4 linked regions of the Alligator mississippiensis genome follow. The protein of the gene in region 3 binds, or shares a complex with, the protein of the main gene of each other region. Links are inferred from orthologs where the notes say so. Each region holds a gene or a part of one and is shown on either strand. Other genes may lie near its edges.

The links.
Region 1: the proteins of RHO (region 3) and GNAT3 are in contact, whole or in part, in a crystal structure (PDB 4A4M), measured with the Bos taurus proteins. The link is inferred for Alligator mississippiensis from reciprocal best matches to the Homo sapiens genes RHO and GNAT3. Residues at the interface, in NP_001014890.1 of Bos taurus: Leu72, Arg135, Val138, Val139, Lys141, Thr229, Val230, Ala233, Thr242, Thr243, Lys245, Ala246, Glu249, Val250, Asn310, Lys311, Gln312; in NP_001103452.1 of Bos taurus: Ile344, Asn347, Leu348, Lys349, Asp350, Cys351, Gly352, Leu353, Phe354.
Region 2: the proteins of RHO (region 3) and GNAT1 are in contact, whole or in part, in a cryo-EM structure (PDB 6OYA), measured with the Bos taurus proteins. The link is inferred for Alligator mississippiensis from reciprocal best matches to the Homo sapiens genes RHO and GNAT1. Residues at the interface, in NP_001014890.1 of Bos taurus: Leu72, Arg135, Val138, Val139, Lys141, Ser144, Asn145, Phe146, Arg147, Val230, Ala233, Gln236, Gln237, Ser240, Thr242, Thr243, Lys245, Ala246, Glu249, Val250, Met253, Met257, Asn310, Lys311, Gln312; in NP_851365.1 of Bos taurus: Ala27, Arg28, Asp189, Leu190, Val312, Glu314, Tyr316, Asp333, Ala334, Asp337, Ile340, Lys341, Asn343, Leu344, Lys345, Asp346, Cys347, Gly348, Leu349, Phe350.
Region 4: the proteins of RHO (region 3) and SAG are in contact, whole or in part, in a crystal structure (PDB 4PXF), measured with the Bos taurus proteins. The link is inferred for Alligator mississippiensis from reciprocal best matches to the Homo sapiens genes RHO and SAG. Residues at the interface, in NP_001014890.1 of Bos taurus: Arg135, Val138, Val139, Lys141, Leu226, Glu249, Val250, Met253, Met309, Asn310, Lys311, Gln312; in XP_010802144.1 of Bos taurus: Asp71, Ile72, Met75, Gly76, Leu77.

What each region holds. Positions count from the first base shown.
Region 1 is NC_081827.1:21,306,752-21,314,092, reverse strand, and holds the start of GNAT3 (guanine nucleotide-binding protein G(t) subunit alpha-3), read right to left. Parts: upstream 3,022-7,341; 5' UTR 3,007-3,021; coding exon 2,889-3,006; intron 1-2,888. UniProt on the Homo sapiens protein: Guanine nucleotide-binding protein (G protein) alpha subunit playing a prominent role in bitter and sweet taste transduction as well as in umami (monosodium glutamate, monopotassium glutamate, and inosine monophosphate) taste transduction.
Region 2 is NC_081835.1:43,088,286-43,096,001, reverse strand, and holds the start of GNAT1 (guanine nucleotide-binding protein G(t) subunit alpha-1), read right to left. Parts: upstream 3,025-7,716; 5' UTR 2,809-3,024; coding exon 2,703-2,808; intron 1-2,702. UniProt on the Homo sapiens protein: Functions as a signal transducer for the rod photoreceptor RHO. Required for normal RHO-mediated light perception by the retina.
Region 3 is NC_081835.1:15,128,796-15,136,173, reverse strand, and holds the start of RHO (rhodopsin), read right to left. Parts: upstream 3,008-7,378; 5' UTR 2,892-3,007; coding exon 2,531-2,891; intron 1,326-2,530; coding exon 1,157-1,325; intron 1,025-1,156; coding exon 859-1,024; intron 661-858; coding exon 421-660; intron 1-420. UniProt on the Homo sapiens protein: Photoreceptor required for image-forming vision at low light intensity. Required for photoreceptor cell viability after birth.
Region 4 is NC_081830.1:38,994,722-39,002,204, reverse strand, and holds the start of SAG (S-arrestin), read right to left. Parts: upstream 3,003-7,483; 5' UTR 58-3,002; intron 1-57. UniProt on the Homo sapiens protein: Binds to photoactivated, phosphorylated RHO and terminates RHO signaling via G-proteins by competing with G-proteins for the same binding site on RHO. May play a role in preventing light-dependent degeneration of retinal photoreceptor cells.

The sequences.
Region 1 (7,341 bases), on a different chromosome or scaffold from region 3:
GGGGTTGCTACCTGCGGCTTACATTTTAAGTAGTGACATGAGAGTTTGGGTGTCCAGTTTGAGACGCCTTACTAAGCATCTCAAACTGGATGCTTTAGCACATTTAGCAGATGGTTGCTCAGCATTTTCCGGAAAGTAGTCCTGCTTGAGGTGTCTCAGTATGGGCACCCAAATCACTAGTCACTCTTGAAAATTTAAATCCAGGGTTCTTGGGAGATGAGAGCCTTCTGGAAATGCTTGACAGACCTTATTCTCTTGCTTTTCAGCTTCTATCTAAATCCTTGCCCTCTCTAGGGAATAGACTATTGTCTGATGTAAGTGGCTATGTTCCAACTTCCCAGAGAGCTGGAAGTGGCTGGTAAACCAGTGTCCATGTGTGGGGTGATATTTCTGCACAGTGAACGGGTTTCAAGACATGGCAAGTTCTTTAAGCTTGTTTGTGATTGTCTAAATGGAAACTGAGCTTTCCCACTTTTGAGGCTTGCCCATTATTACTGCGTTGTTAGTGCTGATTGTTTCTGCAGTGTCAAGGGTGCACATTGCACTTGATGTATAAACACATAGAAAGTCCTCACCTTGTCAAGTATGAGAGCTAGATGTTATGTAACAGAACAAAGTATAGCTCTGGATTATGCTTTCAACATGTTCATGGGGAGACTAATTATCATTCTGGAGTTTAACCTTAACTGATAACTGCAAGTGTTATCTATGGGCGTGCCTGGGTGAGAGGTAGGGGATGGGACCACTTTTTCTGGACAGGATTCTGTTTTAAAAATAACTTTATGCTTCTGTCCATTAGAAGACTTATGTAAATTGGGAAACTATAGTTTTCTTTACCCCAGTACTTGTTCCATGAAAAGGATGTAATCAGCATTTCTGTTGACACTGGCACAGAACATGGAAGTAAAATAACGTGAACAAATTTGGCCTTTTTATTATTGTCCCTGCTTTCCATCTAGACTGAAATTGTTGGGGCTGGACAGTCTCTAGCTTTGCCAACATTTCTGGTTGATCATCAAGAAAGAGCCATACATTGTATCCTTGTACATCTTGAGAGCTCAGGGTGGCTTTGCGGTTCTGGGCCTGGGGCAGCTCTCTCTACTAGACCCAGCACACAACGGTGTCTTAATAGCTTCTTATATTGTTTTAAAAAGGACCAGTTAAATTGTCCAATACTTTCACATGGATTTTAGTAGATGGCTGACAACTCATAATGCATATTGTAAGAGTTCTACAAGAGAAAATTTGCCTGGATATTTTCTTTTGAAAAACTCTGTCTTTACCTTAGGGAAGGTAAACAAAATAATGGACGGTTTAAAGAAAGTTGTTCAGTCACTGTCATTTTCCTACCCCTGGTATGGAAGAACAAAGAGACCTTCAATGACATTGGAAAACAGAAATTGAAATTTGAAAAAAAAGAAATTCTTTTCCATATAGCATACAACTGACCTGCAGGACGTGTTGCCCAGTATGTCCCCAGGGATAGTTAAAAAGGTTGTAAAAAGGACTGAACAGTAGACAAAACACCCACATGGTGATAATAAATACTAAAAGACCAAGATTTTTGGATGGGTTATATACTTTGTCTTTAAATAATAAAGTTTTAGGGAGAAAATTTCCTCAGAGGCAGTTTACTCAACAAGTGCCTTCTACTGGGTTACTCATATTTCCTCTCAAACTCACAGTAATGCATAGAAATAGAATCAGAAACAGGATAGTGGACTAAATGGACTATGTTTTAATTCACTACAGAAAATCCTGTATCTGTCTCTCTGTCTGTATTTTGACCACATTAGGATTTGTATCTAGAATAGTCATGTATAGAGAGTAAGAGAGAGAGACACACACACATTTAAGTTAAAATCTCTTTCAGCCTTTGGGGTTTTGGCAAAATACAACATTTTCTATATATATATATATTTTAAAAAGGTCTTTCAAACAGCTTTAATTTTTCCAAGTAGCTTGTGTGGCTGTAGCACAAATGATCTTTTTATTCCCCGCAGGGCTGAAGATGCCATGCAGAATGTTCAAGACAGAAACTAAACTGCTCCTTGCTGCTGAAGGTAACTGGGTGGTTTTGCTAATTCTAGATTTATTTTTTTAATAATGATAGTTAGACTCTCATCTGATATAAATAATTTAGGCTAAAACTATAGTCAGAGGATCTCTGCTGAGTTATCTTAGCTGAGGATCTGCCAGATATTTATATTATGGGGCCCATTTCAAGGCCTTTGTAAGTATTTAATAAAAGCAGCTATAACAAAAAAATATGAACGTTGGCTCACAACCGGTATTCTGATACACTCAAGCAAACACATGTTTAGTGATGCAAAATATTGAACTATTAGATATGAATAAGAATAATGTTCAGAAATATATAGAAGTGCATATCATACTAATGGGGACTTAGTAAATTGAAAGCTTTTTCATATATAGCCCCAATATTCATTGCTTGGGTTATTGTCTCCTGCTACAGTCATTCCCTGCTTCTTAACAATCAATGTGAAGTTCACAATCACTAATAAAAATTAATGATAATTTCATTAGCTGATGGCATGTCATTTCTGTATTTTAAATCAATCGCCTCCTTAAATCTATGTGTAAGTGTTGTATTTACTGCACCTTTACCCTTTGCTTTCTGCACTATCCCCTGCATTAAAAAAAAAGAGTTTGCTCTTTATAATTGTTCTGACAGGAGTGATCATTCCTCGAATTCTTCCTTTATGCTGGGGATTTAAGATACTTAAAATGGAATAGATTCAGTATAATAAACCTGTTCAGTCAAGTGTCTAGTATCACTGAAGGATCAGAAAGCATGTTTGCATTTATCCCTTTACAGTACTGTTTACTTTAAAATAAAATCATAGAGTAATATACTTTTGTTTTACCTAACAAAAGAAGCTTGACAGTCCTGGCATCCCGCTCTGCATCTTGCTGGAGTTTCTTCTCCAATTCCTTTGATCTTTTGGCTGACTCTTTACTCTCTGAGCTGGCACCACTACCCATGGCGTGGGGTTACAGAGTCAGTGTATATCTAAGTAGAAAAAACGCTTTAGTTCAAACTCTTCAACAGCAATGCTTTAATGAAGTCTGAAATGTCCCATTCAGCCTCCTCTCTATAGATACAAATTAAGTAGTTGCTTTTCCCCTGTCACATGACTTGAAGATGCTACTGACAGGAATTTATACTGGGACACAGAATTACAGCCATATGATGTCAGAAAATGTAAATGTCCCATTCAGCTATTACACCCATGGAAAAGCATGATAGAAGAGCATGAGCATTTCCATACCAAATTGAACCAAGAGCCATCTAGTTCAGCATCCTGTCCTTAATGAGATGGGAAAGTGAAAGAAACCCTAACGTACCCGATTTTAGGATAACACTGTTTAGGGGGAATGAATTTTTCACCCCAGGAATTAATCTTTGGCTTATGTCCTGAAGCAAAATGTTCCTTCCAAACATTTGGGAACATTTATTTATTTTTAATCTTTCTAAACATTCCCTTTATCCACAAAGAAATGTGCAGCTTCATAGCTACTTGTTTATGCTGATTTTAACATTAATAAATTGGGATGCCACAATGCTTTCTAGTTTCACACTATAATGATACTATAAGGACAGAACAAGGAGCAATGGTCTCAAGTTGCAGCAAGGGAAGTTTAGGTTGGATATTAGTAAAAACATTTTCACTAGGGGGGTGGTGAAGCACTAGAAAGGGCTACCCAGAGAGGTGGTGGACTCTCCATCCTTGGAGGTTTTTAAGGCTGGTCCTGCTTTGATCAGCGGGTTGAATTAGGTCCCTTCCAAACCTAATTTTTTATGATTCTGTGATGCCGTGCCTTATGTTTCCTTCAATAATATTTAGGTTTTATTCCAGTTTGCAACTTCTCTAAGATGCCCACTTGTGCATAGTCACCTAATGGTGAAAGCTATGGTATCTTTGCCATTTTGGGTCACCCTAGAAATTGCTATTGAATGTGATGCATATAACTTTTAGCCAAAAATATCACTCCCCTTTTTCTGGAAGAAAGGACTTCTTTAAAGGCATGAGGCCAGATTCTCTCCTTTGGGTCCAACACAAAGGAGTTGCAAAGTTGGCATTTTCTCCTGGCTTGAAGCCAGCTGCTATGATCTCCTCTTTAGTCAATGCTGCGTTATAATGATTGTCAGGCCTTGGAGGCCTGGAAACAGCTCCTTTTCAGTCCTGTTTCTCCAGGTACAAACTGCATCCGGTTGGAGAATTCAGCTGAAATGATGCCTAGATCTTACTCATTTCTTACTTCAAAGGCTGATATTCTGGTCCTGTTGGAATCAGTGCAAATTTGTTGCTGACTTCAGCAAAACACTGATTTTACCTTACAGAAAAATTGCTTGTGTGTTTGAGTAAATACGTGCTCTGATACTACAGTGATAAGATTTGAAAATCAAGGGATTATTGCAAGATGCATACATATACTAGCAGGTATGCTGGTTTGGCTCCTTCAGTGTATCCCTTCTGCTCAGTGCATCAGGAAAACTAGATTTCCTATGTCTCCTGGAGGGCTGGAAGCAGTTGCTAAGTGTCAACAGCTGAGGTTTTGCATATTTATTTACACAGCAAGAAAAACTGTTGTGCTCAGTCTACATTCCTGTTTTGCTTATTCTTTAAAATGACAGGTAACAAGATCTCTGTGCATCTGCACTCATGCATAAATCTTTCCATTTGTTTTAGAAATTAACATTGCAATGGCACAAGTGCGGTCCTGGTGCCAGGCATTTCTTTGTTAGAATTTGGGCCCATCCTGGAGTAAAATGCTTCAATAAACTTCAGGGTGATTAGAACATATATATATATATATATATATATATATATATATATATATATATATATATATAAAATCTACACACATCTATAGCAATTATAATCTATATTGAGTTCCCACTTTTCTCATTGATCAGGAGTCTAGAGCAGGGCTTCTCAACCTTTTTCTTCCTGAGGCCCCACTAGCATGCTATACAAAGGGCCTCCTGGATGGTAAAAGGGGCACAGTACTGAAGTAGAAGCAGGAACCATATTGGGGTCATAATGATCAGACGTCCTCCAATGGCCTTTGTAAAATATGGCGAACTTCCTGGTGCTGCACAAGTACCCATGGTTCCACTTGCTATATATTCTCAGCAGTCATATCAGCCATCTCCTCTTCTGAAGCAGCACTCAGCTTCTGCCTCAGAAGTGAGGTATGATCTTAGTTCATTTGTCCTTAGGACAGGATGATGCATGATAGGGCTGTGCAAAGCTTCAGGTGCTGATTTGATTTGGAGGAGATTAGGCCCGATTCGGTGGCTAACTCTCCAAATCTGAATTGAATTGGGGGACCAGTTCAAAAGTCTGAAATGATTTGAAGCTCTCCGTATCAATTTGGAAAAGATTCGGAGAGCTTCGACAATTCAGGCAGTTCCCACCTGCTGCAGCAGGGAGCTGGACCCAGACTTGGATCTGGTAAGTAGGGAGCAGGGGAGGGGACCATGGGGGGACAACTGCCAGGCCCCATCCTCTGCCTTATCCCCTGCCCCCCCCATTCCCCCAGCCCCACCCCCCCATGGCTGCCCTACCTGCCCCAGCTCCTGGCCCTTCAAAAAAAGCCCCAACTCACTGGGTGCTGGCTGGTGAGGGGGGAGCGGCAATCCCTACTGCCTCCCACTGCCCCACTCCATGTGGAGGGGCTCTGCCACAAGCCCCTTGACCCCCCCATTCCCTGAGACCCCTCATGGCTGCCCCACCTACCCCAGCTTCGGCCCTTTAAGAAAAAACCCAACCCCCCCCACACTCGCTGGCTCCTGCAGCAGTCTTGGGACTTTGGGAGGCTCATGCAGACTTTGGGAGTCTCATGCTCAGGGCAGTGGGGATTGCCCCCACCCACCCAGCAGAAATGGTGAGTCAGGGCTTGTTTTGTTTCTTTTTTTTCTTAAAGGGCCGGAGCTGGGGTGGGCAGGGCAGCTGTGGTGGGGGGGAGGCTGGGAGAGTGGGAGGGGACTGGGGGGCTTGTGGCAGAGCCCCACACACAGCGTGAGGTAGTAGGGGGCAGCGGGGATCACCCCCCCTGCGGGGCAGCATCAAGTGAGTTGGGGGCTTTTTTTTTTTTTAAGTGCCAGGAGTGGGGGCAGGCAGGACAAACATTGCTGGGCTGGGAAAGTGGACGGAGGATGGGCCTGGCTGATTTGCAAACCTCCAAATCAGATTTGGCTGAATCAATTTGGGACAGTGATTCGAATCACCAACATGAATCACTGTACCCCAAATCGGCCAAATCCGAAGTGACTGTTAGCCTCTTCGCACAGGCCTAATGCATGATATCATTTGTAGATATAGAAGGCCCTAGTTCCAACACCTCCTTCTTCACAAATGCACTGGTAACTTTTCTGGTCACCCTATACTAGTAAGGATGGCAACCATCTTCAGGTCCCCACTGAGGATACTGAAGGAACCAAGTCATTCAACACTAAAGTCTTGATAGAGGCTTGGCCTAGTCTCTAAACTACGTGATAATGGACCCAGGCAGACTATGCTACTGTTTAACTCCAAGCCATGGCAGCCCTCTCCTCATGTTTGGCAAAGTGAAACGACAGGTTCTACACAAAGGGCCAGAGTATTTCTTTATATATCCATACCCATCTTCTCACATAGTGATATCAGCAAAGGAGGAAGAACATCAGTTTTCCAATACATAGGAAATGCAAAAGACTGGATTTGTTGGAATATATGCAAATATTTTGATGTCTTTGGTGACGGATCTGACCCAATTCATATAATTCCAGTGTCAATTGCACCTCTTTTCAGGAAGTGCTAGGTCTATCAGGTATGTGAGGCCCCCTACAATTGATCAGTTAATCTTGGACACAGTCTCAATTGGTTATACCATCCAGTTCATCTGAAAGTCTATTTCCAAATCCTGTTCCTGTGCCTCTTTTCATGAGATCAATAAAAACCTTTAAAATCCTTATTTCAACATCAGAGAAAAGGGTTGAAGGGATTTTTTTTTTCATAAAGCCAAAGTTAGACGCGGGAGCGGCGAGAGACGCGCGGGTGAAAGCTCGCTGCACCCCCGCTCCCCCGAAGCCCCCCAGAAACCCTCCAGCAGCCGTGGAGCCCCCCGCTGACCCCCAGCGCAGCCGGGGTAAGCGGGGCCCGTGGAGAGAAGGGGCTAACCCCCTTAGTGTGTGTGTGGGAGGCGGCAGCTGAGTGGAGCCGGGCCGGGTCAAGCCCTGCCCAGGCCCCTACTTCACCCAGCCCCCCAGGGAGCCACGCAACAGGAACCACGCGAACAGGCTGCACAAACAGGAGCGCTTCTCTGCCGGCG
Region 2 (7,716 bases), about 28 Mb from region 3:
TGCTTCCCTGCCCTTCCTGCAGCTGGAGCCAGAGCCACCATAGAGGAAGTGTCGGGGGAGGAACAGGGCATGGGAGGGTGAGGCAGCCCCCCCCCTCCCCCTGCCTTAGTCAGTGCCTGGGACTCATGCCCCTTTTGCCCACCCATCTTTACACTTCTGTCTTAAATGGTCACCCTGCCCTGAGGCAGGATTGAGTGTACCTGGCCCATCCATCCAGGATAGATTTTGCAGGACCTGTTTCTAAACCTCCAACAAAGTAGATTCCACCCCTCCATGGGAATCTGTGCCTGTGATTCACTACCCTTAGAGCTAAGCAACTTTCTCCTAAGAGTCAATCTAAATCTTCTTTGCTGCGGAGTAAGCTGATTTCTTCTTGTCCTTCCTCTACCAGACAAGGAGAGCAATTGATCACCATCCTCCTTATGTCAACATAGGGATGGGGCTGTTGTTATGTCTTCTCTTTTGTAGATCAACCAAGGCCAGTCCCTTCAATCTAGTCTCACAGGTCATGGCTTCCAAAATTTACATCACTCTTGTTGTTTTCCATTTTTCTTACAGCCCCAAACTGGACATAGCACACCTGCTGGTCCTCACCAACATTGAATAAGAACAACTATTTCTTGTGTCCTAAGTATAGTTCTTCTGTTAACATATCTCAGACTGGGATTTACCTTTTAAACAATATATTTAATTATTGACTTTGTTTAGTTTGTAGCCTGCTAGAAACCCCCAGATTCATTTTTCCTATACGCTACTATTCCCTGCCCTTCTAGGGAATACTTATTTCCTATTTGTGCATTTGATTTCTCCATCCTAAGCATCATATTTTGCATTTGTCTTTATTAATTCTCATCTTGCTGATTTCAGATTATCTTTCCAATCTTCTGAAGTCAGTTTGAATTCTAATCCTACCCTCCCCACCATGCAAGCCCTTCCAGCTCAATATTGTCAACAATTTTTAAGCCAACCCTATATTTCATCCTCCAAATAGTTATTGAATAGAACCAGGCCTAGGACAGGTGCCTAGAGTAACCTGTCTATGTTGCCTTCCCAGTTTGACAATAAACCACTGGAAACTAGTCTTTGAGGTAAGTTTTTTATCAACTGTATGTTCATCTAACAGTGACTCATGCAGAAGTTGTTACATGAGAAAGTCATGTAGGACAGAGCTGAAGGCCTTACAGAAGTCAAGCTGCATCTCATTCATTGCTTTCCCCTTGTTCACTAGGCCAGCTGTCCGATCAGACAAGGCAAGTTGTTCTTGACAAACCCTTGTCAGCTCTTTCTACCACCTTGCTACCCACTAGCTCTGCACCAGTTGACTGTTTAATAATTTGCTTGGGGACTGAAAACCCTCAGTTCAGTTCCTGGTCCATCAGCCAAGATGGGGACAGCTGCTCAGTTATCCTGCCCCTGCCCTCCTTATTGGTGTCGTGCTCAGGGCTTGTCTTGAGCACAAACCTGGCAGTGAACAGGGGCAAGAAGCAATGTACAGTATTAATCAGCTTCCCTGCAGATGCTGTTTTTCATGGCACTGGAGGTAGCAAGCCAGGATTATAGAGGCCCCAGTGTCTTTTCTTAGCTGGCATTAAGGTAAGATGGATGATCAGTGTCTATCCTTGGGGCATGGATAATGAGATCTGACATTTTCCTCCAGGCTTTGCAGACCAGGCCTGCAGAAAAAGAGGTGCTAACACCCCGCCTTTGTGGGGCAGGGCATGGAAAGAAAGGAGCTTTGCAACCTGTTCCCAACATTGCGAAAGCTTGAGAGAGGGCAACATAGCAATCACAGCAATCCAGCATCTCCTCTAAGCTTCAGTGCCCACAGCTCCTGGGGCATGCACACTGTAAATGATTTGCTCTGACAAACTCAGGGACAAAGCCCTGGAGTTCTAGTGCTTTGTTCCCAGCTCAGGCAAGTCAGTCAGACTCCCAGTGATGCCAAGACATTATCTCAAAATGCCCTGGCAAGGCTACAGGGTGAAGTATTAGCAATAGCAAGTCCAGGTTCCAGCTCTGCAGAAATTTGCAAAACTGCCATGAAATTACAAAGGTGGGTGCTATGGGAGCCAAGGGAACCACATAGACTCACATCACATGCTGATCTGCCCCACTATGGTCAGTGGAATAGTGTTGCTTACACCAGCTGGGGACCAAGCTGACGTATAAGCAAACAGCCCCTTCTCTGTGCTGGATCAGGGTTTCCTGGGGCCATTTGCATTGCAGCACACATGGAGAGGCAGAGCTGTACATGCTGTCTCTCGCTGATCAGGACTCTGGCTTTCACCAGCTCTGGATCTGGAGAGGAGTGAGCTCCCAGACCCACTGGGCTGGGATCTCAGGGAAGGGGTGCTGAGCGCAAAGGCCTGTGGGTGCTTAATACCTTAGTAAAATGCTGCCAGCTCTTCTTTCCTCCTGGCACTGCCCTAAGCTGGGCCATCAAGCCAATATAAGGGTCCCTCCATCAAGCATTCCCACCACGATGACAAACCATATCCAACAACCTGGGTAGGATCAGCATCACAGTCTCACTGCCTGGATGCTGGCTCAGAACCTGGGTATTGGCTGGCTTCGGATTGAGGGCTTCTGATGGATAGCTCTGGGCCAAGGGGCGGGGGCAGGTTTGAGGGGTTTGGTGCAGGATCTGGGGTGTTGGCTGAGATCAGGGAAAAGCAGGGCTCAGCCTCTAACCAAGCACATACCCAGTAGGAGCAGCTTGACTGTCCTGGCATCTTTCTCGGCATCTTCCTTGAGCTTCTTCTCTAGCTCCCGCGAGTGCTTCTCTTCTGCGCTGGCCCCAGCTCCCATCTGGTCTTCAGTATACTCCTCTTCTTGATCCAGCCACTCAGCAGCAGTAGTGTAAGCCCAGGGGGTATCCAGAGCTCTTGTCCTGTCTCCTCTGGAACCCACTACTAACTCTGGAAGGCCTCCGCTTGCTCCCTCCTGCTCCGTCGTGAACCCCAGAGAAGAATGACACTCCTCCCAATGCACAGTGCCAGCCAGTCTCCCACAAAGGAGGATTTCGAAGCCCATGGAAGTCATGTGTTCCCTGCTGCCCAATCTGTGGCAAGGACAGGTGGACAAGGAGCAGGTAAGGCCCAGGCTCCCCTCCCTCTGTTTCACTCTGATCAGACTTGCTGCGCTCAGCGACATGAGCAGCCCCATGAGCTGATGCCTTAAACCCATCTCTGAGATAAATCCCCTCAAATCCCCCTACCTGCTGAGTGCAACAATTTCCAGCCTCCATCTGCTCCCATCCAGGGATGCATCATCAACGTGTAAAAGCAGGGACTTCCTCACAGCCTGGCCCACCATCCATGCCCCAAGCTTCCTGTGAGGGGAGGTGGCCTGGGGCTGGTGCCAGAAGAGCTGAGCCCTGAGCCTACATCTCATTCTATGACCTTGGGTGAGTCACCGGAAGTCAGAATCAGTTTCTGCTGGTAATATAGGGGACTCCGTGTTAGGCACCTGACCCAAAGTCTCTGCATGTACAATGTCTTGCATCAACAAAGGCAATGTATCCCACTGTGAGCATACACAGGAACCAAGGCTTCCCAGCTTAAGGGGCTTCAGGGTACATCCAGGCTGGCCACTTTGGCATGGACAGAATCAGTGCAGGGTGCTCTTTCTTGCCTTGCAGGCCAAAGCTCCCTGGCACAGAGTTTCCTGGGGGGCAAAGGGGAGAGAGAGGGAGTGCAGTGAACTCTGAAGTCTCCTTGAACTCGCTGGGGCTTAGGGAATGGGGCAAAGCCCCAGGGAAACCTCCTTGCCCCTGTCTGCCCTTAGTCCCTGCTGTGTTCTGCCCCTAGGCTGGCAGTCCCTCAATCATACTTCCCAGTTTGCTCATTCCACGCATCTCTGTGCCCAGGCAATCCACCAGGTCCCCCAGAACCTGCATGACCTCAATGAATGGAGCTCAAGGTGGACCTGGGCCTCAGGAGAACCAGACACATCAGCACCCAGCAGCCCGACAGCACCACAGAGGACAGGCCCAGAACCAAGGCAGAGCATGCTGAAGGGGCTAGGGTACCGGGGTAGTGGCGTACGGAGGGGTTGGCTTGCAATCAACACTGAGTTGGGGCATGGATGGCAGCAGCAGAGGACAATGGGGCTCCAGGCTGGGCTCTGGACCAACAGAGGTATGTGCCTGGCTGGATTTGGGGACTCCATGAATTGTAATGGAGAGAGGGAAGAGGGATTAAGTCTTTGGTAGCCCAAGGTCAAAGGTCTGTCTGGATGTGGAATGTGTGTGGGGGAATGTACCATGGTGGGGGCTGCACTGGATATTTCAAGGAACCTTTATGCTTTTCTTAAAAGTTAAATAATTCTTGTGAAAGACTGAGACTGAGATCTGGCTGGTGCTGGACAAGCTTCCTACTTATACAGCTCTGCTGTCTCGCATCACAACCTGCAGCCCCCTGCGTCTCACCCCCAGTCAATATAATGGACCACTGTCTTGTGGCACCCTGTTCTTCCCTCCTAGGAAGTGGGAGCTGATCAACCTTTGGGGTTTTCCTGAAACCCAACTCCTGTCAAATGCATCCTGGGGGGAAGGGAGGGAGGACTCAGAGAGGTGAAAAGCTAAATGAAGCCCTTGCAACTGCTTGAAAAACAGCCCTGGGGATCATGGTTATCTGAGAAAGGAGGGAGGCGGCCGAGGCACTGGAGTGTAGGCCTGGAATAGCAAGGGGCTGAGACAAGGAGTCCAGGTGAGCTAGTGCCACGTCCCTGTCACCCACAGATGCTCCACTCTGTAAACAGTGCAGCATGGGGTGTACATGAAGGAAGAATGGCCCCGAGAGTAGGGTACTGGGAGTCTCCTGCGTACTGTAGGGAGTGGGTGTTGGGAGAAGGGCACAGGAGTGAAGACCCTTCTCAAATCCATGTGTGCAGAGCAGTCCAAAGCAGCTGGGTGGATGGACAGATGCACAGTGAGAGAGGGACTCTGCCTTGGATTGTGGGGGGAGGGGGAAGAAGGTGACACCAAAGTACTGAAGGGAAATGGGTCAGTACCAGGCCATGCAGTGAGCAATGGTGAGGCTGGAGCTTTGCCTGAGTGAAGGTGTCCCCATGCCCAGGCCAGGCATCCACTGTAACAAGATGCCAGGCTGAGCACATAGAACTCAGGACCCAGGTGGCCAAAAGTAGATTTCCCCTGAGGTCCTCACAGTGGAAAGGTTGGTGCTTATATCCTGGGGCTCCCCTATGCCTGAAAACAGTGCATCTGGGATAATCATGCATCAAGAGCCCTTTGAACTGCATTAGCCCCGTGCTATGAGCAGGCCGGGGGCAGGAGGGGTGCTAGGGGCACAGCAGCCTGGACCAGCGGTGTGTGGCTGGGGGTTGAGCTCTCTGCTGAGCAGTGCCACATTCAGCCACCAGGGGGGGCAAAATCACCACAAATCCCTCCCAGCACCTCCCAGTGCTACCAGATGAAGTGAGGCTGAGCACACCAGGCCTGCTGCATTCATGTGTGTGGAGTCCCATGTCCACCTCTCCCTGTGCACCCCGTACATGCCTCAGAGCCCTGCCATCCCTCTTCTCCCCACCCCTACCAAGCTGGCAGAGGTCTGGTCAGGGTCAGGTCTGGAATGGTCTCCCCAGAGGGCAGTGCCAGGAGTTTGCTGTGAGTGAGGCCCCTATGGCAATCGCCTTTTCCAGCCCTTATCTAGTGCAGGTGCCCTCCTTGGGATTGGGCTGTGGGGAGAAACATGGGAAGGAACTGACTCAGGACCACCTCTGTACCCCTGGAGGATGGAGGAGAGGGGAGGAGCATGCCCATCCCATCATCGCCCTGTTTTCTCTCTGCAGAGATCCCAGTCCTCAGTCTGGGCATGCCTCCTTGGAGGGTCCTGACTCTGGGCAAGGGCATTGCCACCACAGGCTGCTCCTCCAAACTGTGAGGCACCCATGGGTGTGGGTGACTGCTGAGTTCAGCTAGAGACTGTGCTGGGACATGACACCCCTGATGGTGCCAGAGCCAGGGTTTCCTGCAGCAGGTCAGACTAGGGAGGAGTCCTGTCCCCTGGATCCCCCATTTCCATCCAGGGCCTGGTGCCCTCTTACTCTTGTGGAGGAGAGTGGGGTATCACACGGGGTTTGGTTGCGCTCAGTGCAAACACCGTCCTCTACAGTACTCAGTCTCTTTAGCCAGGATCACATGCAGCTGTAAAAGGAAGGAACCATTGTTTTCTTTTTAATCTTTTAAACCTTTTTTCTGAGCTTTTAAAAATTATATTTTTTTATTTTTCACAATTAAAAAACCCTGACACTTTTACTGAGAAAAGCCCGATCCCCTAAGTAAGCCAAACCAGTACTTCAAGAGGACAACGCTCCAGGATGTCAATTGATAAAATACTCCAAGAACCAAAAATCTAGCCAGAATTTGCTGTTTTGAGGCAGGACTCTCTCCTGTATTTACATGGCACCTCATCTCTTTCAAAGCACTGTGCCATCTAATCCCAATTCATGTAGGAAAGCAGGTCATCTGTATGCCTTAATTAACTTTTCCTCTGAATTTTCTGGATTTGCAGTTTTGGAAATCATTACGACATTCCTGCAGTGTTTTTACTTACATCTTCCTGAGATGAGCTCTCAACCCTAACTCCAGCCTAAGGTAGGCCATGGAATTGGAAATGAAGCTGCATTTAATAGCAATACACTGCCAGAGTTACTGATTAAGCAAGCACTGCTGATGGTTAACCTTGAAATAAAATGTGAAAAAGAGGCTTTGCCTGGATGCATAATAAAAAAACAGTCATTTCCTGATGTTTAGTTTCAGAAAATTTGTTTAAATAAAATGAAGCATGATGTCAAAAGTCTCACTTGTGATCCACCAGGGAAGATTGGCTTTCCCTGCCTGGGCTCAGGGTGTGGCAACTTCAGAAGTGAGAGAGCAACACAAGGGGAAGAGATGGACATAAAGCCTTGGGAAGGATTACCAGCCAACTCTGTTTGTCCTTGGGATGACAGAGGGGAGAGCAGGCCATCAGGCTCCATTCTGAGGAGGCAGCAGGGTGCTTGGCCTTGTACGGATCAACTCCCCATGGCTGCTTCAGATAGGAAGACGCATCTCTAAAGTGTGCACTGTGAACCCAGGAAAGAATTGGGTGAACCTGCTGCTGGGGGGCTGTGCTTCCAGCCTCATGGAGCTGCATCTGTTGGGATCAGAAGGCTCCAGGGGGACAAATGGCAGCGACCAGCCTCTTGCAGGGACTGAGGATGTCAGACTCTGACAGCCAGACCCTGCCAGATTGTCGCCAGGGATCTGTGTCGGTGGACCATGCCCTGCCCCTGCTTGGTGCCCTGCTCACCCCTAGGTGTTGTCACCATTTGCAGAAACGATTCCCAGACAAGCCTTTTCTGCCATTGGCATGCAACAGCCCTGGGCTCCATTGGCTGAGATTACACGTACTTGTGCAAGAAGTGCAGAGGGGTGGGAATGGATCCCTGCATGTGTTTTAGAGTGACTTGTTTATATGGAAAACTGGTCACTGCTTCATGGGCTTCTGGGTTTGGTGTCCATCAGACTTCAGATAAAGACCCCCGATTTACAGAATCAGAATAATAGAAAAGTGGGACTAGAAGGGCTCTCAGAAGATCATCTAGTCCAGGCCCCTGCTCAAGGCAGGATCATCCCTATCCAAACCATCCCATATAAGTGCTTGCTTAACCAGTTCCTCAAACTCCAAGAACAATGTTGCACAACTGCAAGGA
Region 3 (7,378 bases):
GTTGATTTAAGTGTCACTGGCAGAGGTAAGACTTTATATGTGATGGACTGATGGTTCATCCAATGTGCCAAATCTTATCTTCTGTACATGTCTCATTCCTTAAAACTAGCTACAACTCTGATTCAGGATTATCCTAACTTTCCTACTGGAGCCACTGTGGCTGAGAGCAGAACAGAGGCCTAGATACTTAGTTAAATCTTAAGTAGTTGGATCATTTCAAGCAGACCGGCTTGACAGCTTCCACATCTGTGTAATACCAAAGGATAGTGAGATAATTAATAGAGTCATCCCTGTGTATTATAGGAACACATTTGACTTTAAAAGTTCCTTTCATGCCACATTAACCTTTAAATCTATGAGCAAGGTTCAAGCTTTTAAGAAATGAAATACATTGAAGAAAAAACTGCACTTGTTAATTACCTGTTTGTTCATGACAATGTAGATCACTGGGTTGTAGATGGCAGAGCTCTTGGCAAAGAATGCCGGGATGGTCATGAAGACGGGACCAAAGTCAGATCCCTGATTGGAAAAGATGTAGAAAGCAACACTGGCATAGGGGACCCAGCATATCAGGAAAGAAACGACCATGATGATGACCATGCGGGTAACTTCTTTCTCGGCTTTCTGGGTAGTAGCTGATTCCTGCTGCTGGGCTGCAGCCTAAGGCAAAAGAACAAAGAAATTATGATGGTTCCATGGGAAAGTGTTGGGGAAAAAAAGGCTGGAACGGCATCTCCTCCCACAACAGGGATGGAGCCAGCTGCGGAGTTCCAAGCTGCATCTGAGCTTTCCAAAAATTTGGCATTAGCATTCACACGCAGGTTTTGATGGCAGTCCGTCACCAGCAGGTCAACCTACCTCTTTCACAGTGCAGACCAGGCGTCCATAGCAGAAGAAAATGACAGCCAGTGGAATGGCGAAGTGAACTACGAACATGTAGATCACAAAGGACTCATTGTTGACCTCAGGCTTCAGGGTGTAGTAATCAACCCCGCATGAGCACTGCATGCCCTCTGGGATGTACCTGCCATTAAACCGATGAGATTAGTACCTGGCATTGCACTGGTGCCACTGGGGAATCAGGCTTTGCAATTTTAGAATGGAAAAATGCTGTCCTAGATGATGCCTTATTTCAGAAAATGTATAATATGCCTACCTGGACCATCCGACCAGTGGGGGAGCAGCACAAGTCAGGGCCATGATCCAGGTGAAAACGACACCCATAATGGCATGGTTCTCACCAAATCGGAAATTGCTCATGGGCTTGCAGACCACTATATATCTTTCAATGGCCAGGACTACCAAGCACCACAGAGCCACTTCACCTGTGTAGGAGACACACACACACATATTCATATACTGCTTGCAACAGAAGAAAAACGTGTTGTCCTGTATATGAAAGCTTCTTGGATAACGGATTCCAAACAAGTCTCTGAATGATCAAAGAATGCAAGTAAGATTTGAATGTGAAAAAAAAATCTGAATTAAAGCATGGGAAGGAAGGCACAAATGGCTGACTAACCCATTGTACACTCATTTTGCTGCAGTATTTTGAGTTCCACTGGAATGCCCTATCTTATGTTTGAGTCCAACCTGTCCTCCCCACACTTGTTTTGCTACTTATTAACTCCATGCGCCTGATTGTGCTAGGGAATGCACACTGAATTGACCACTCATTGGTTTCTGCCCTCTGCCCAGCATATCTCAGGTTTGGGAACAACATTAGTAGGATATTTCAAAGCTCACAGTAAAGTGGAAATTGGGTCTACATCCTTCTTACCTTCCACCCAGTGGTAAACAAAGGTAGAGAGGTTGTTGTCAAGATGTTGGGAGGTTTTTTGTGTTTCAGTATACATTTTAGAACTCATCTACCTTAGAAGACTCTCTGGTAACCAAAGAACTAGTTAGATGGTGACCTGAGCAGACTTATCTGCCTGAAGGATGAACTGGATGCAGAAAAGAAAGGGTTTTAGGCCTACCATTTCCTGTAAACAGCTATTTCAATCAGTTGACACATGGGGGAGAAGATTACTTTTAAAGGGTAAGTAAGTCTATTCCTTCAATTTAAGTATGGGGATCTACAGTAAAGTACCTTGGGACCTTTCTGAAATTCTTCCAGCAAAACCAGGGAAGACCAGGCTTGCCATTTCCAAGGTTAAAAGTCAGCATAAAACCACTTTTGGAATACTGTTCCAGGTCACGTTTCAATACCACAGTCCAGTTTCAACCATTTTCAGCCACTGGGTTTTCCCCAAAGCAGTAAAGGAAGATGGCAAACATCATGTGTTCTTTGTCCTCCCACACTTCTCTTGTCTGAAATATAACTTTTCTACAACACTGAAAGCCAAACATACAGCCTGAAAATATAAATTCCAAGTGCCTCCAGGTCTTGGTGATGCATTGAAAGCCATTTTTTGCTGCCTTCCCGTCTTCCCCCCTGCCCCTCCACCTGGCCCTGGCTTCCCCTTCCTACAGCTCAAGGGAACTCTGACAGAACATATTTGGCTATTTACTCAGTTAGTGAACTTACCACCAAGAGTAGCAAAGAAGCCTTCAAAGTAGCAACCTGTTACCCCAAAGACAAAGTACCCATTCATTGATGTGTACAGGGTAGTGGTGAAGCCTCCCAGGACCATGAAGAGATCAGCAACTGCCAGGTTCAAAAGGATGTAGTTTAGAGGCGAACGGAGCTTCTTGTGTTGGACGGTGACATACAGAGTCAGGAAGTTGATAGGGAAGCCAAGAATAATCAGCATAAACATGTAAGCGGCCAGCGCGGAGTATTTCCATGGTTCAGCCAGGTAGTATTGCGGATACTCAAATGGACTCCGTACTACCCCAGTCTTGTTGGAAAAGGGGATATAGAAATCTGGACCTTCTGTTCCATTCATGGCTGCGGCTTCCGAGGTGTTATGGTCTTACAAATATTTTTTGCTTTCTTTCAAGATCTCCTCTTCCTGCTCTCCTCTTATCTCTGCTTCTTCCTCAAACTTGCAGAAGTTGGCAACACTGTTGTCAGTGCAGCGCCCTTTATGAAGTACCACCTTGGGTAAGCTTTCAACATTGGTGTCAGCACGATTAGGACTTACAGCATTATTAATCATAATAATCCAAGCTAGGATTGCAAGTGGTAATTGGCTTTCCCAAGAAGGTTTAAGGTGACACCTGTTTCTGCGCTGTGCAGTGGTTACCTGGGAACATTGAACTCCTTATGTATAATATGCAGCTATTGTGTATACCATAGATGTGGAGCCAGCAAGGAAGCATAACCTCATTAGTTTTGTTCCTTATTTTGCAGCCTTACATAATTCACTTAGCGATAAATTTTCAGAACTGACCTCCAAGTTTGGGGCTCTGGTTTTGGTGCCCCATTTGAGAGATGAAGGGCTGACCACCACAGATCATGCTGCCTTCCCTTGCGCTGGTAGGTACTCAGCACTGCTGACAACCAGATCCCAAGTGCCTCAAGCTGGGCACTCAGAAAAGTAAGCTACCCCACAAAGACTCCAGTATCAGGAGCTGCTGCAGGCCTGTTTCACTGCCTGTGCAATAGGGATAACACTTCTCTATTCCACAGGGATATTTTGAAGTTGAATTCTTTAATGGTTGTAAAGCAGCCTCAGAACTATAGGTAGAAGGACAAAGTATAGGTGTGTCTATGTGGTGGCTTAATTTTTTTTGAATATATTGTCCAGTATCTGAATTGTAGCTTCTCAAAGACAGGTGACAGGGATGAGTTGTGAGCCCACATCTGGGAACAGGAGCTCCTTTCTGTCCCCTTGCTTTAAGGAATGTGTTACTATAATCTAACACCTCAGCATTGTATGCAGCAGGTTGAGGGAACTGGTATGGAGAATTGCAGCCTTTGGACTCTGGGTCATATACTGTAGGTTGGCCCAAGACCATTGTTACAATCTGAAGCTGGCCTGGGTTACATGCGAAACAAACAGGTGGTCCCACCAGTTGCCACCACAATTGGTAAACCAGGTGGAGCCTGAGCAGGACAGAGGTCAAGGACTGAATGAGTTCTGTAAAGACTTCTGCCACAGTGCTACCAGCTCTTGCTCACAACTGCCACAGACCTTTTTTGCCCTAGTATGTACCTGTGAAAGATACATTAACCCTGCTTCTCCTGTTGGGTCATCCTCTCTGCTCATCTATTTGCCATCTGTACTGTGTTAACCATAACATCAACAGCCAACAAAGAGTCATGCTCATCTTCTCCCCTGAGATGTGCTCCCTCATACTGTTCAACACTGATGGGTACATTGGACAAGGCTGATACTAGGGTTGTGTTTAATCTGCAAGAAGACTGGAGCCTTAAAACTCTCAGGTTATCACTCTGGAACTTGTCCGAAGCATCCAGTTCAACTTATTAAATGGATAAGACAGGTATAGCTACAGGTGAAATGGCTGTTTGAAACTCCCACAGGCTCTGAACTTCTTTGTGTCCTCATCATCACTTAAGTCATTGTTTGGAACGAAGATCACTGGCCAGTAGCTTGCAAGAAAATAGGACAGCAGGTATAATGGAATGAAAATACTGAAATCAGTAGCAGACTATCCTGTGGAGAAGGCAATTTTCTTAAAAAATGATACACCAGCCCTAGTCTTTTAAACCCTAAAGATTTTTTCCCCCTTTGCCCTTTTATTACATCTTGTGTTACTAGTTAAGAACTTTAAGGTATGTAAGGGCTGAGCAAGTCTGAACTTATTCTCACATCTCCCCTGGGAGCTGGGATAGTAATCGACACCATTTTGAAGTGAAGGTTGAGAAGAGGTATGACTACTTCAAGGTCTTGCAGTTGGTTGTCAGGTACAGCCAGAACACCAGGCAGTGCCTGTCCAGCTCTAGGCAGTATCTAGTCTGTTTGCTCCATACCACGCTGCTTTTGGGCTGGGTTACCATAGTATAGGCAGTCCAGTTAAGAAAAATGGACATAGTTATATGACAGCTGCAGCCACCCCATTCTTTTATTGGGATTCGGCTGAAACTTTACATAGGAGCATACAGAAGACAAGTCTTCAGCAAAGAACAACCCTGGAACACGTCAGTCTGAGAGATGAATGCTTCATAAGGTTTTAAGTGCTTGAAGACAGGATTTTATCACAAGAACCGCTGTGGCTGACAAGAATACGGGAAGACTGAGCCATTTATATATAATAGAGCACTTGAAAAAGTAGGACAATAGGCACTTTGAACATTTGTACAGATGAAGAGACTATTAGTTTTAAACACACATTTTTATACAGTATGGTAACCTGAATAAAGACACCATGGTTCTTGCTAGCACACTACCCACATCAAAACTCCAGCTTAATTAACTTTTCACACGTGTTCCCAAGGCTACTTTCCAGCTGCACTGCAGTCATCTAATTGCAAATGTAGCTGTTAGCACATATATCCAGGCATACAGTAGGCTTAAAGGTTTATCTTCCGGATACACAAATGTGTCACATTAAGCTTTGATGCAATAAGCCATTGCTGAGGTAGCAACTGTTGTTCAGAGCTTAGCGCTTGAAGTGCATCACAGGTAGCAAGTTTCAGTGGAAGAGGCAAGCAATAGGGTAAAGGAAGTATGGGACAAACTTCAAGATGTGGTTTATGCTGTTATCCACACCATAGTGGATGGCAGAAGGCAAAGCAGCAAATGTCATCTATGGTGGCAGTCTTTAAGCTTCACCAGACACCTCCAAAAGTACCCTCTTACCATGAAGTTATGTAAGAACAGCCTCAATGTCAAAGGATAGTTTGAAATGATCAAAATCTTTAAAAAATTCACCAGATATTATTACAAACCCAAGGTCACATCTTGGTGTATTTTTATATAGCATCTTTCTCCCCTGTGGATCCAAAGGAAAGGAGTTCAGGATCCTGAGGAAAGGAAGGATGGAGAGCAGCAGAGTAAGGACCCTGGACTTCAGAAAAGCAGAATTTGACTCACTCAGGGAACTCATGGGCAGGATCCCCTGGGAAGCCGGTCTGATGGGGAGAGGAGTCCAGGAGAGCTGGCTGTACTTCAAAGAAGCCTTACTGAGAGTGCAGGAACAAACCATCCCAGTGCAAAGCAAGACAAGCAAGGATGGAGAAGACCAGCTTGGCTTAGCAGGGAACTCTTCAGTAAACTAAATCACAAAAAGGAAGCTTGGACAAATAACTAGGGAAGAATATAAGAGCATTGCTTGGGCATGCAGGGATGAAGTCAGGAAGGCCAAAGCACACTTGGAGAAGGGTAACAAGAAGGGTTTCTACAAGTATGTCAGTAGCAAGAGGAGGATTAGAGAAAGTGCAAGTCCCTTATTGAATGGGGCAGGCAACCTTGTGACAGAGGATGCAGAAAAGGCTGAAGTGCTCAATGCCTTTTTTTGCCCCAATCTTCACAGGCAAGGTCAGCTCCCAGACTACTGCACCGGGCAGCACAGTTTGGGGAGGAGGTGAGCAGCCCTCAGTGGTCAAAGAACAGGTTAGGGACTACTTAGAAAATCTGGACGTGTACAAATTCATGGGGCTGGCTGGGATGCACCCGAGGGTGCTGAGGGAGTTGGCTGATGTGATTCCAGAGCCATGGGCCATAGTCTTTGAAAACTCATGGCAATCAGGAGAGGTCCTGGATGATTGGAAAAGGGCAAACAATAGTGCCCATATTTAAGAAAGGAAAAAAGGAGGATCCAGGGAACTACAGAGCAGTCAGCCTCACCTTAGCCCATGGAAAAATCATGGATCAGATCCTCAAGGAATCCATTTCTAAGCACTTGGAGGAGAAAAAGGTTAGGTTAGATTAGGAACAGTCAACATGGATTCACCGGGACAAGCCATGCCTGACCAACCTGATTGCCTTCTATGATGAGATGACTGGCTCCATGGATGCGGGGAGACCGTCAGATGTGGTGTACCTTGATTTTAGCAAGGCTTTTGATACGGTCTCCCACAACATTCTTGCAAGCAAGCTAAGGAAGTCTGGGCTGGATGAATGAGCTGTAAGGTGGATAGAAAACTGGCTGGAGCATCAGGCTCATAGGGTAGTAATCAATGGATCGATGTCTAGGTGGCAGCCGGTATCAAGTGGAGTACCCCAGGGGATGGTCCTGGGCCCGGTTTTGTTTGGCGTCTTCATCAACAACCTCGAAGATGGCATAGAGAGCACCCTCAGCAAGTTTACAGATGACACCAAGCTGCAGGGTGCTCTCTATGCCATCTTCGAGGTTGTTGGACTAGGATACACTAGAGGGTAGGACTAGGATTCAGAGTGACCTAGACAAATTGGAAGATTGGACCAAAAGAAATCTCATGCGGTTCAACAAGAACAAGCAGAAAGTCCTGCACTTGGGATGGAACAATCTCATGTACCAATACAGGCTGGGGGCTGACTGGCTGGGC
Region 4 (7,483 bases), on a different chromosome or scaffold from region 3:
CCAGAAGATTTAGGAGAAAACAAAAAACCCCACAAAAATAGCCAAAAGTTAAAATACCTTCCAATGTCTCAAATGTCACAGCAACTGCCAGAAGAAAACATTACACAAGGAATAAGATGAGAACTCCTAACACTGAACAAAAGGTATTTTCCAGGCAGACAGTTCCTACTTATCCTTGTGTGTTGGAGCAAACCACTAGCTTCCAGGTGAGAACTGAGCGCAATTTGTAGTCGATTTGGAGATGTTTCCAGCTCTTAATGTCCAAGATTTCATAAACTAATCCCACTCAAGGAGTAAATAATGTACCTAGATTAAGATCCACTTGGAAACTGGCTAGGTCAGCAGTGTTGGGTATTACTTAAGGGAGCACAGGCCTGATGAACGGGTCTACAATGTCATTGCCAGACTCATAGCTGTATAAGGACAACACAAAGACTTACAGAAAACAGGAGGGTTATTGCTTTGCTCTAAAGCTCTGTCTCCATCTTCTATCTACTGTAGTTACAAATCATACAGCTAATAAGAAGCTAAACATTAAGCATCTCACTAATGGCTCTTTATCTGTCAGCATTAGAACAAGACTTTATAAATACTACATAGTCTAGACTCTAAGGGTTGCAAACACATCATAGTTATTTTCACAAGCTTTAAGTTCACCTATTGTTGCTCCACCAGCATTCCCCTGACATGTTATGCACATAATATAGATTGCCAGCATACTGTTTGTTGTTCCAATTAGCTTATAAAGGAGAAGTGACAGTTATCCATGTTTAAAAAATTAGAATCAAGAGGAGCAAAGAAATTTGATCAATTTAGCTTCTTTTTGCTCATGAATACTCTGAAAGGAGTTTGCTTTGCTTTGATTGCAATTTGATTTTGTCCACAAAACAAGGAGGGTAATTTTTGGTGAGTAAACTATTCAAAAGCAGCTGTATTCACCAGCTCACTTTGGGCTGTTTGATTAGAAACAGATCGCATAGTACTGCTTCTGTTCCCTCCTTGAATAGACTCTCTTGAGAGTGTGTTTGATGGAGCCCTGAAGGCAAACCCAGCTTACTTTTGGGAACAGTCACCCAATATTTACTTGAAGTCAGCACAGCAAATTTTAATGCATTTCTGAAGTGGCCAAGGAATTTGCATAGGACAGTAGTTCTCAACCTTTTTATGGTCAAGGCACCCCTTGGAAAATACCAGCTTTCATTTTTTAACTACAAACCCAACACAAAACCGTAAAGAAATTCTTTTGCAAAAAACTCAGAAAGACCACAACAGGTCTGAATGCTTTTGACACTCTGGGTTCCTATTCAAAATAACTTTCCTCCTCCTTGTGAATCCAGTTTGCACACTTAACGCTAAGAACAAGTGGCACCCTGGCACACATTTGTAAGGATCTCAAGTCAAACAAGGGTGCCACAGTACCTTGACAGTCACTAATATAAGGCTTGTGCTCCTAAAGCATTAAGCAGACAAGATTATTTGCGTAAATCCGGTATCTTTTATTAGACCAACTAAAGTAGTTGGAAAGAATTGGCTGTAGCCTTGCCAGCCTAAAGCATTAAGACACTTCTGAAATCCCTCGTTGGCTAGAATATTTTGGAAGAAGCAAATATGTACCCACAGGCAAAGAAATCTCCAGTCCTGCTGTACAGAAGACATGAGATGTACTGTGACTGCTCCGCCATGCAACATTGTCACAGCACAAGCTGGGGGGCAAAAGGAAGAAAGGCCATTTCTCTTGACAGCTCATTTGGCTGGTCATGATTGGATTCCCTTACCTGTTCCACAAGACTAGAATTCTTTGGCTTATGTCTTGCAAAGCTGCAGTCGTTAGAAGGTTAATGGTAATTTACTGTCAAATGTTAATTTGATAAGGATCATTCAATAGCTGTTGTTGGAGAGGAGGAGGGCAGGCAGTACTGGGGAAGAAAGACATTAGTCAGCCTTTTAGGATGGACAGCTCTCTGACTTCCTTTGTGCTTCTGCTGGCTGCTTTGCAAAGCCCCAAGGCTGATCAGGGCCTCTAGCCACCGCTTCACTGAAGTACTTTAAGGGCATATATAAGAGTTAATTTTCTCCATATTGCTCAGTCCAAACCCAAAGTCTGAATGGAGACAGGAGAGATCAACTCCAGAGATACCACGTCCCCCCAGCTTCACCTGGAACTAGATGCCTGCTTACTCCCAAAGGGGCGTTGTGGCATTCTACCATTTGGTTATTAGTTTCCACAGTCTAAGGCAGGACATGGCTCTTGCCAGAGCAGTAAGACATTGCTAAACCAAGTGGTAGTGATCAGCCTCCAGGAAAAAAAAAAAAAGCCGACAGGAAAACAATGTTCAAATCCCAGAAGAAATGCCAGATATGGATTACAGGCTTCCCTGGGTTTTCATAGAGCCTCTCTTCAAAGGTGCAGGTTAGTTCCGGGTGGACAGTGTACACTAGTCTACAGTCAGAATCCTCAGTGCAGAGGCAGAGCAGGCATTTTTCCACAGCACGTGCCACCTTAATTCAATTTCCTTCTGCATTGCCCTGCAGCTGACTGCAGGCGGTTACTGCAGGACGCCATGGCACTCAGCCAACCCTTCTCAGCATAAGGGCAGAGCCACAGTGACCTTGTCAGGTTCTTCCCTACTTGCCAAAGAGAGTGATAAAAACATGGTTACCTGCGGTACAGACTAATCTCCCTACTAGGTGACAGCACAAGCCAGTTTCCCACCAAGGCTCTACGAACCTTTTAAATCAAAGCTCCAAGTGCCTCCCTTTCACACTTACTTCTACTGAAGACTGCATTTTATACTTTGAGACACCAGGCACTACGGTAATGGGACATACAGGCTTGAAAAGGTATTCTTCCATGTTTTAGGCAGTTCCCTTTTATATGCATGTTTGCAGCCTACTTTTTCTTTCCATCCAAAAGGTCGTCCGTCCGTGTCCCCCCCCCCGCATAGTAGGGGTGGGCAAAATATAGCCAGTGGGCCGCATCCGGCCCACGAGGCCATTTTATCTAGCCCATGGGGCCCCTAAAAAAATTTAGAAAATTAGTATCTATCTGCCCTTGGTTCCTGTAAAAAATGACAAGAATCAAGGGCAGAAGGACCCAGGGGAAGCCTGGTGAGCTCCCACAACAGTAGGGCCCCCCTGCCCTGGCCCCCCCAGCAGGGGCTTCTGGCCTGGGAGCATGTGGCTGCCCCCTGCCAGAACTGCAGGCAAGGGGGAAGGTGGGGGGAGGGCAGGGGAAGGCCCAGGGGAGGGAAGGAGCCTGGGGAAAAGCGGGGGACGGGGGGGAGTGGCCCCTTGCCTGCCCTGTGCCCAGCGCCCCATGTTGTAGCCGCTCACAGCCCACATGGGGCTGCCTGTGCCTGCTCCAGACAGCTCCGCACGGGCTACAAGCAGCTGCAGCAGGGAGCACTAGCCACAGGGCGGGCAAGGGGCCACTTTCCACCCGCCACACTCAGCTTTTCCCCAGGCTCCTTCCCTGCTCCTTCCCAGGGTGAAGGAAAGCGGCCCCTATCCCACCCCATGGCTGGCGCTCCCTGCTGCAGCTGCTCGCAGCCCATGCAGCGCTGTCTGGAGCAGGCACAGGCAGACCCAGGTGGGCCGTGAGCAGCTGCAGTGTGGGGCACCAGGCACAGGGCGGACGAGGGGCCTCCTTTCCCCCCCACGCTCAGCACCAGCTTGTAATCCGGCTCCACTGCCAGCCTGGGCCCCGCACCCGCTCTGGGCTTGCCCATTGGGGCTGTGCATGGCAACAGTAACTAAAGAACCCCCACTTGGCAGTGGCAAACACAGCCCAGCACAGCACCTCTGGGCTGCCCAGCACACCACCTCTGGGCTGCCCAGCACACAAACTCTGGGTGGGCAACAGCAGCAACCAACGCTGCCCGGTGTGGCAAGTGGGGGGGCCGCACCTGCTGCCACCGCACGCAGCCCCAACCGGTGAGCCTGGAGCTCGCGCAGAGCCCAGGCTGGCAGTGGGGCTGGGTTACAAGCTGGTACTGAGCACAGGGAAAGTGACCTCTCGCATGCCCCATGCCTGGGGCCCCGCACTGTAGCCGCTTGCAACCCATGTGGGGCTGCCTGTGCCTGCTCCAGACAGCCCCGCATGGGCTGCGAACGCCAGCAGCAGGGAGCACAGGCCATGGGGCAGGGTCACTTTTCCTCATGCTCAGCACATTTCTTCCCTGCCGGTCAGCAGGGGGTTGAGGATGTGCGCTGCCTGTACTGTAGGGCTGGGGGGCACTGGGAGTGAGCAGGTACAGGAGCCAGCAGGAGCACGGGATCTGCACCAGTGTCCCGGGGCTGGGGCCAGTGCCGATGGATCCCAGCTGGCAGGGGCTCTATAGAGCCGGGCCAGCTCCCCACTCTCCCTGCTAGTGCAGCCCAGCCCAGACCCACAGAACCCTGCCAGCCTCTGCCCCGGTGCTGACCCTGAGACATTGGTCCCAAGATGGTGACCGGGGGGGCAGGGCATCTGTCAAGGGGCAGGGCTACCCATGTGGCCCTTGACAGCCTGCCAAAACTGGGTAAGCAGCCCTCCCCCCAAAATAATTGTCTGTCCCTGCCTTATAGCCTTTTCTAGATGCAGACCTATCCAATTCCTAGAGAGAAAAAAGCACAGCAAAATTTCAAAAGATCAAAAGAATTCCAAGAAGCTACAGCCATCTTCTCAGGACAAAATAAAAAGAACATGGATCCTTTTCAATCTGAAGTTATGTTTTATACGGAAGCAGAGCAGACTCCATTCCTTTGTTCAACACCATCATAAGAGAATTTTTCAAAGGATCTTCCTAAAGTGGCAAGTTTGGTTTCCCTACTTCTAAATTACTTGAAAGTACTGTCAATCATGAAATAGCTGCACCCTTGAAAAAAGCAGGTCATGACCTCATTCCCTTACCAGTGTCACCAAACTAGAATTCTTTGGCTTATGTCTTGCAAGACTGCAGTTGTTAGAAAGTTAATCAAGTTCACTCCATCTTGGAAGAGGTACAACCTGAACTAGTTAGACAGACGTTACACTTGATAAGTGTATGAGTGGAACTGGTGGTTATCTTTGTTGCATAAACAATGCTTAAAAATTATAATATTGACCTACCTTTTACCCCTTGTTTTGGAATGTTCAATGTTATTTGGCTAAGAAGCATTCAACAAACAGAAGTCTCCTGCATCAAAACATTCAATCCAAATTGTTGTTTATGTTGTAGAAAAAAATTATCAACATCTTAAGCCATCCTGATCCTCTCCATCGCAACCTGCACAGTTCTTATTATGGCAGAGTTAATCCCCGGTAATATTTAATCTCACCGACTCATCACTTAGAATGATCCGTTTATCTGCAATCCTCTTGAGGTCAGCTGGGCATAGGACAGGGGCCTTTGTAGAGGTAGTGTAATAACACACTTCTCTGAAGAAAGTTTCTGGGAGCGGATAGAGTATGATTCCTTCTCAAAGTGGTTCCTTCACATTTTAGAGCAATTGGTCCCCATAGCTGACAGCAGAACTGCAGTTTGTTTGTCATCCTCTTCCATTATTTGAAAAACAAAAACCATTAACTGACTTTGCTTTCACCTCTCACCAACACAGGAGAAGATTGGCTAAGAAAATATCTTAATTTTACACAGGAGAGCTGAGAGACTCCTTACCAGCTAAGAACTGCCTGCCCAGAGTTTTCCACCTATTGACTCCTCTGAAATATGAACTTCCATTTCTAGCCAGGAGAACTTTTACAATCTTTTCTCCAATGCCTGATGAAGTGCACTTGTGCCTGAAAGCTTGCAATTAAAGAATTTTTTTGCAAAAATCTTGTTGGCCTAATAAAAGATATCACCTCTACAATGAGCCCCAATTAATTTTACAAGATACAGGTGCAAGAGGACTTAGATGGTTAGGTTTCATTACTCCCAAGTTGGCCCTAGGTTTATCTTACTGTTTAGTGTACAGGCATGGGCAAAACCCTGCCTGCTGAGGGATTTTCTCCAGCCCACAGCAGGTCCTTCTGTTCTGCCCTGCCCAGGCACGGAGGGCAACGCAGGCTGTGGTGTGTGCAGCCAGTCCTGCTGCCCCTGGGCATGCAGTGGGGCTGGGGTGGTGTGGCAGCCCGACTCCAATTCCTGGCAGCCCCAGTGCCAGCTCTTTCTGGCTGCTGCAGCTGTCAACCCTAGTCCCCACTGCCTGGACATCCTAGCCCATCTGCCCCACCACCAGGCAGGGTGCACAGCTGGGTGGCTGGGATGGAGCCACAGCCTGGTAGGGAGCAGTGTCTAGGAGCTAGATGGGCAGGCAAGACTAGGTGGGCAGGCAGGAGACCCTGGGATTTTGGGGTGGTGACAGTGCAGACAGGGCTGGGGAAGAGCTGTGAAACATTCCGAGCACATCCCTGTCTGCAGAACTGGGGCTCTGCCCTGGCCCTATGCTGTCATCACCCCATGATCCCAGCCCTGGATGCAGCTCCCCATGTGCCCGGCTATGCACCCTGCCCATGTGGCTCCTACCCAGTCTCAATAGAGACTGCAGGACCGCAGGGCAGTGACAGCATGGGATTAGGGCAGAGCCCCAGTTCTGCAAGCAGGGAGGTGCTGGGAGTGCACTGCAGCTCTGCCCGACCTGGTCCTGATGTCATAACCCCATGATCCTGGGGTCTCAGTGCAGACCAGTTAGGAGCCATAGGGGCAGAGCACAAGGCCACACTGATGGGAAGCTGCGTCTGGGGTTGGGTTCTTGGAGCAGTGACCGTGTGGGGCCGGGGCAGAGCTGCAATCCACTCCCTGCACATCCCTACCCGTGGAACCCACGCCTATTGCAGGGCCGTGCAGGCAGTGGATCACAGCTCTGCATCATGCTATCACCCCCCCATGACTCTGCCACATGATCCCAGCTTTGCTCACCTGTCCCACTCCCAAACACCACTGTCCACGGGCCTGCAGCCCGCATAAAGTTTTGTTGAGGTGTTGTGTGAGGAGTAAGGGGGGGGAGGGGGTGGTGGTGCTGACGTGGCCTGTGACAGCTCAGCAAAAAACTGTCTACGTAGCCCATGGGCCGAAGTAATTGCCCATCCCTGGAACACAGTTTTTATACCACCATTTTTTGGTCTGTATTATGAAACTGAGAGGCAAGACAGCAGTTAAAACAGCAAGGGAGAAACAGACCATCTCCTGTGATGTATTCCTGGGTGAACAGGGACAATCCATATTCCTGAATTCAGTAATCTCTCCCTCACATCAAAGTATGTACACTAACCTTCCAAGATTCAAAGATAGGTCACACTGTAAAAAAAAAAAAAAAAAAAAAAAAAAGTACAAACAATGAGGAAGCCGCTTCTTTTGCTATAGTCTCAAAACAGTATTTCTGATAAAAGACCATATAGATTTGGCTATAAGGACTAATACCCCTTGGACACATACCTGTCAAGTACAGGCCACAATCCACTAATCAGTACCCCTTTCTCTCTCATGCGCACTTGTGCATGCATACACACACACACACACTTTGC